Linked DNA regions of Canis lupus familiaris. The protein of the gene in region 1 purifies or fractionates together with the protein of each later gene. This does not show direct contact. Links are inferred from orthologs where the notes say so. Each region holds a gene or a part of one and is shown on either strand. Other genes may lie near its edges.

Region 1 (3,569 bases):
GGTCCGTTTGTATCTACCTGCAAACCCTGGATAATATTTTTTAGGCCAAATGGGTTAAGTGCCATTATTCAAAAGCCCCTGGCACATTCTTACACAAAAATACTTTTTGCCAAAAACAAAAAAAACAAAAAAAAACCTTTTTGCCACTCAAGCCTATTAAAATACACCCAATCTTTCTTTCCTGTAATTTACAGTAATTATATACAAACCAGTGCATGTTAAACACACACACACACACACACACACACACACACATTACATGACCATATGGGTGTGTATAACCCAACAGAACTTGTTACAGAAGCAAGACTTATGCTTACGATGTGCAATGTACTCTGATAATTTCTATTCTTTTCTCCTAGTCTATTTCCTTAATTACATTCACACACACACACACACACACACACAAACTCAAACTGGTCCTGATCACTAAATTGACTTCACACTCCACTATTATATTGTGATCCACAGTTTGAGGCATAGTACTCGCTGGTATCCCTTTAAACAACTAAAACAAAGTGTACCATGGAATAACATCCTTTTGGAAGCGATGTCTTTATACCAGTGACCTGCTAGGAACTGTGTCATTAACCTCCGCTGTTTCTGCTATTCTGTGGTGCCACATACGGTACAGGTGTGCGGGGTGCACTTACATCAACAATACGTGATATTTGATTATTAACTTCCCCTTGTGTGGTACCACAGTATCCAAACAAACTGTGGAGCCATGAGATGATTTTGGATAATAAAATTATTACCCTATGCGGCTCCGGGTGATCTTGGAAGGCTACTTCTGCAGCTATAAATATTAGTGGCAGAGAATCACGAGTAAGTTGTGCCCAAAGTGTTGAAGGTCATACTGTCAGGGTGAAGTAGTGCCCTTTGGGGGGCACTCTTCCTGTGTTCCTTTCCATTCCTGTGTCCCTTGGCATTATTACAAAGTCAAGCCTCCTTAGACACCCACCAGCGCAAATCTCTAGATAGTTCTCGGAGCATGAAGTGATCATTGTTTGAATTTTTTTTCCCCTCATTTATTTTATAAAACTATATACTAACTGGATTCCAACAAAAACAATGTTAGTTATTGTCTCATTACAGAAGACATGTTTAGGTCAAAGCTGGCAAGCAAAATCCATTTTCCAAGTACTGGTGGGAGATAACATTCATATATTGGCTGGCTGGCTAGGAGTTTCGTTTATCTGTGGAATTGTGATTTTAAACATTAGCCTCTCTGGCACCCAACATATAGGAACCATAAATACTTCCAGAGTATGCGGCTGCCTGGGGCCTTTCGACAAATTCCAAGTATTGACAGGAGGGCATTAAAAACTGCATTAAAAACACAACAACCAATGCTACTGAGGTAGATTTCACAGATGTGATGATTCTACCTCTGGAGCAAATCAATCTCTGCTCTGTGTTAATAGCTGCTTGGAACCCAGGGAGAAAACATTGGCAAGATATACAACTCTATTCCAAAAAACACAAGGACAAGTTCTTGCAAGCTCGATGGGTCTATTAAATGCACCCATGTCTAACCCTGATCCACAAGATGAAATGTAAGCCTCGGAGAATACAGAGGAAGGGAATGCTTCTGTTAACAATACCCAATGGGCACACTTGATGCAGAGTGGCAGCTTTTCCAGAGAACAGATGGAAAATGATGAAGGATATCTGGCCAAAAGAAGAAGATAGTACGATATAACTATATAAGATTCCAAAGACATCCTATCAAGGAGCAGCTGTGTGATTTGTATCTTTGTTTGATTCATTATTTTGGTTATTATTTCATCTAAATTAAGCCCAGGAAATGGACCATAGTCAGTTTACTTGAGAGTTTCCTGAGGTTCATTTTTTATAGCTTTAGTTCTCACTCTCAAAGTTAAACTAAAATACCCAGCATGACCCATGTTAGTTATTCCTTCACATTTTTTGACCGTACTCTCTGGTAGTTAACAATATACATATAGCTATCTAGGTTCTGTGCACAAAAACCCTGCATTCATCCACAGTGTTCTTTTCATATTCTGTTCTGCAACTGTTACAACAGAAACATGCACCAGACATCTGGCTATATTTTAGAAGCTCAAAGGAATCTACCAAAAATTCAGCTCCAGTTGGAAAGTCCAATGAAGAAAGGGAGTAACTCCAAACAAGGCCAGAAACAGATTTCTAAGGTTATGATCAAAAAAGACTATTAACGTGAACTGCGTATTATTTAAAAACATCCTGTAATAACTGCTTTAATATTAGTATATGAATAGATTCTCCCACGTTTAGAACAAACAGTGGCATTCTAAAGACTGAGGAAGGTACGCCATTTAGGAAACGGCTAACCATACATGCACGTATCTATAACTCTAAGTTCTAGCTGGGCTTGACCTAAGCTAATTTTAAAGTTGATGAAATCCTGAGACATGAAAATTTGAAGTCTCTGGAATACTAACAAAAATGGAATGGTATTCATGCCGTGAATGATGTGGCAAATCTTGCAAGATTCATCATCAACCACACCTCCAGGGCTTGTGTTGAAATGAGCCCACTCTTCTAAATAACACGTAAATTTGGACAACACGTAACCTGTAGTAGTGCAGGGGGGAACTGGTAAGTTTCTGTTGCTCTTGAACATCATAAAAACTTCAACGACAGGAGAAATACAATGCCCGTGACTTCCAAAGTCTCTATCATGTGCTAATTATAAACCAAAGGGGACAATCCTCAGCTTTTCCTGTGAGCGTTAGGGAGAGTTACAACTCACACAGATAGAGTGAAATCCTCTGTGGTGAGCAGGCTTCAGAAATAGCTGACCTGAGGTTTTCCTTGAGGCTGCTGGGCTTCCTTCTCTCTGCAGTGATAGGCATGCCCTTCCAGTTGACTAAGAATCAGGGGAGTTCAAAAACACTCCCTCAGGGGCTGGGGACAGGCCAAGATGCTGGGTCGGAGCCGTGCAATTTTTTCCTTTCTGCATTTTCCACCTCTAACCCAGCAATCTTCCACAAGCCTCCCCAACACGCTTCCCTTCTTACCTTGATATGGGAGGCATTAATGTAACCTGTGTTATTCTCTTTGGTCGGGATCAGCTCTACTCTGTTCTCCTCATAGGGGACAACTTCTCGGATGCGGCTTCGTTCGGCATTTTCTGGCAGAGCCGCTGTGCTGAAAATGCCATTCGCCTTCTTCTTTGGAATCTGCTCATATTCTGTGAACACCATTCCCTCTTCTAGCTTTTTCTTCAGGGTTCTGAACTGCAACAGAAATTAATCTTGAGCTCTCCGGATTATCTTATCCAAAAACTCCAACGAGTCAGAATCCTTTATATATTCATAGTGATAGTGTTAATAAGGAGTTTCAGGAGGTACAACGAACGAATGCTTGATTATTTGGTCTCATTATTAACCACACTGCTAGTTTCTCTGGACCAATAACCAAGTTCCTTCTCATTTATGCTTTAAACAGAACCAGCCAGGCAAGAGCTGAAATTCAAAAATCAGTATTTTCAGTATTAACACCTCTGCTTAAAGTCCTAGTGATTCCTTAAATGATTCCTCTAAAGTCCCTTCTGCCTTTAA
Region 2 (3,569 bases), on another chromosome or scaffold:
CCCACACAGCTAGGAGGAGATTCGGTGTAACCGAAAAGCACTCCTGCGAGTCCTTACTGTTTCACGAAAGCCTCGTAGACCCCACTGTCTCCAGCCACAGACTCATCAGACACGGCAGCCGACACACAAGCTGTCTTCTCCCCAAGCAAGTGGATTACTCTTCTTTTTGGTAATGATTTTTCCACATCTAGGGAGGGGAGAGGGAGCGTACTAATTAGGATTCATAATTAGGAAAAGTTAGGTACAAAAATACACACGTGGTTTGGTTGTGAGAGAGCCAAAAACATTTCCATCTGAGAATCGAGGAGGTTACGGTTTGAGTCAACTCATGTGGCTGATTCAAGGCATCACGACTTACAGAAGTTCCTGGGATGCCAGTTATTTTGGTCACCGTTTGAGAAACAATGTGATTTCTCTCCGTCCTGAAATATCTGAAGGGAAAGTATAAATGACACACATTCCCACTGGCCCCTTGCTCTCTCTGTTAGGGATTCCCTGTAGTTACCAAACGCTCGGTGGCAAGGAGCTAGCTGCGTCCCTCAACTATGAAAGATATTTCTGTAAAAGAGAGCATCTAGCTACTCAATGGCAAGAAAGGTTTCCGCCTCTTTTGCTTCCCCTTCTCTCCACATGCCATATTCTACATCTCCCATGCTACCACACTTAACAGAGTCAAAGAAAAAAAAGTCTTTGACTTATATAGAATTCCTCACCAGCTAATACCATTAAAAAAAAAAAGAAAAGAAAAACTTCGTGCTACTGAATCTTTAGCACCAACTACCACTTAACTTTTATCTCTAACTCATATTCATACACTGCATCCTGCGGTGAGCAAGGAGCATTCATTTAAAGCTGCGTTCCTATGTAATAAGCTGCGAGCCTGCCGAGTTCTTTCATCCTCCAGCAAGTGAGCAGGGATCAGGATTGGTATGCATTTCGCCCCCCTTCTGAGTCGTGACTTTACATCTTGTTAAGATGTTTAAGTTTTAAGGCTTCAGATTACAGGATTGATTGCTGCATTTTCCCTTTTATTTCTGGCAGTGGGAATGCTTTTTCCTTGATGATGAAGTGCCTCTCTCCGCCCACCCCCCTTTGTGAGGGGTGAAGGTGATGACATGATTTATTGATTACCCCCAGGAATATCCGAGGCAGCTCAAATTGACTTTGACAATGACAGAGACTGACTGGAAGGACTTGGTAGTCATTCCTCCGTGGTCTCTGTCCTCCAGCGGGGACGGGCGCCAGAGAGCGGGATGTACATAAAGCAAGTTGACTTTGCCTGCGGAAGACTCCAGAATGCTGAGGGAGACGAGCGAGCGGCATCACGACGCTGGGCCACCTGCCCCCACGTGGAGGTCAGACACCCCCCAACGCACCGAGTGCTGGTGCTCTGACTGAGGGGATTAGTCTTTACAGTTAAATATATGCTTTTAGTTGTTTTTACACATGGCACTCAATACGCTTTCCAAATAAAGCTCTCGGATAGAATTCCTTTAGGGTGACTTTTTAGGAGCAGCTTTCTAATTAATATAAGATGCATCTGAAAGGTAAAAGCTGTATCCTGGAAGCTTTGGGGACACCGGGCTCTGGGCAGACTTCTCGGGCGCAGCAGCAGACCCAGTGGCAGAAGAAAGGCTACCGCCAGGCAGAGGCCCAAGCACCCGGGTGGGGTCAGGCCGGGGCGATTCTTATGCTTGTCTCCCTCTTCTCCAGCAGCCGGCCTCCCAGAGCAGCCCCTCCTGATCGAGGGTTGAGAAGTGGTTGAGAAGTGGTCGCTGGAGAATGCTCCAAATACACAAAGAGTGAAAACAGCTTTGAAATGCTCAAATCCTTCAAGTCCAGAGCCCAGAAATATGGGCTCCACTTTCTCCTCTTGCTTCTTCATTCATACTTCCTTGAATTTCAGTGGTTTGTGGCAGCAACTGGGCTTAGCACAGTTTGTATTGCTTCTCATCGTACGGTAGTACTAATTCCATGAACTGATGCTGAGAGCCAGGCACAGTTAGATGCTCTTGATGTGTGACGGCGTCGCTGCTCCCAATCCTCTGCGAGGGAGACACTCTATCACTCCCATTTTGCAGGGGAGAAACAACAAGGCTGAGAGCCTGGGTGATGTGCTCGTGCTCGCTTGCACCAAAGTAAAAGTGCGGACTTGGCTGGCTCCTGGGGCAGGGAGCATCGCACTGCACCGCACACCACTGCACCCTGCACACCACACTCCTTCCTGGAGGCAGACGGGAGGCCCCACCACCGGCTTCTGCTTTCCTACAGCCACTAAGTAAACACTACTCCTGTGCTTATTTTCTTTGATGCTGATGATTTTGATGACACATTACTTATAGCTGTGGCACCTTCTAGGCAGTGCCACACGAACCACACGCATGTCTCCTGCGCCCTGCCTCTGCCTTGGGCTCCGGGCCGCTGGCAGGCGGTGTTTTGGTCTTCAGTATTCAAAATTCAAAACCACACAAACATGATAGATTTGTCTATCACTTTAAACATCTAAATTGGCCAATCAGTGAATACATAGAATTCTTCGGACCAGAAATACAAAATAAATAGGCTTCTCAAAGCAGCAGGAAAATACTTCTAAAGAGGACCAGCCTCTTCTGTGTTCTGGACACACAGTGATGTGCGTAGATCTGAACGGGGCTCCTGGGGACCAGACTGGAGCTTTTATTTCACATTTCATTTCAGGCTAGCTCTCAAATAGACCATCCCCCTCAGACCACAGCCACGGTCATCTGCCAGCAAGGGTACCATGTTGTTCTCTTGACAACCACGTGTCATATATTGAAAGCATCCACCTTGCAAAGGGATACAGACTTAAAAAAAAAAAAAAAAAAAAAAAAAGATGAAACTCTCCCTCCATTTCTGTCTCTGAATACAAAGGCAGCAGTAAGAACTGGATCTGCTGCATGCTCTCCTGGGCTGCAACTAGTCATGCAGCCAGAAGATGGCAGGGTAATACTTCTACATTGGAACCAGCATTCTCCAAATTCACTTTAGGCAGAAAGGGAGAGTCTGGCATGAAACAAAAATTGTATTTATATAGAATTCCCTGAGCAATCTAAACATTGAACCCTGGTACTAATTAGCTGGTATGCTAATTGCCTTGGTTTTAATCTGTTTTAGGCCAACTTTAAAAAGAAAGCCCCTCTCTCTTGCCTTGCTATTTCAGAGACAGAATCTTTGTGGAAGTATGAAGTACGTCCACAAAACATGCTCCCAGTCAGCTGCCACCAGACAGAGGGTTTCTGGACAGTTTAGGATAGCCACTTCATGATTGAATCTATTCAGCAGGGAAAGTAACTTTTATTTGATAAAGAAAAAAATGTCCAGTCCAGGTAGATCAATAAAAAACTCCCTTCTCAAACGAAGCCAAAACGAATAAGCAGCACACAGAGAGGGGCGGCTGGCACAATTTGTTTATATGGAAATAGTACCCCTCCCACCATTCTTCTTAAAATAATTAAGGGGGAAAACTTGCAAGCAAAGGTCTCCACTTACCTGTACTTCCTTCATATAACGGCTCCCGGGCACATTCGCTGAGGTCTTTATCCTCTGAG

What was found.
Region 2: the proteins of PTPN14 (region 1) and WWC2 purify together in Homo sapiens (affinity purification with mass spectrometry, with the first as the bait; 3 studies listed by BioGRID). This does not show direct contact. The link is inferred for Canis lupus familiaris from reciprocal best matches to the Homo sapiens genes PTPN14 and WWC2.

Annotation. Positions count from the first base shown.
Region 1 is NC_049228.1:12,217,300-12,220,868, forward strand, and holds part of PTPN14 (tyrosine-protein phosphatase non-receptor type 14), read right to left. Parts: intron 3,246-3,569; coding exon 3,027-3,245; intron 1-3,026. UniProt on the Homo sapiens protein: Protein tyrosine phosphatase which may play a role in the regulation of lymphangiogenesis, cell-cell adhesion, cell-matrix adhesion, cell migration, cell growth and also regulates TGF-beta gene expression, thereby modulating epithelial-mesenchymal transition.
Region 2 is NC_049237.1:48,002,679-48,006,247, forward strand, and holds part of WWC2 (protein WWC2), read right to left. Parts: coding exon 3,511-3,569; intron 188-3,510; coding exon 58-187; intron 1-57. UniProt on the Homo sapiens protein: Regulator of the Hippo signaling pathway, also known as the Salvador-Warts-Hippo (SWH) pathway.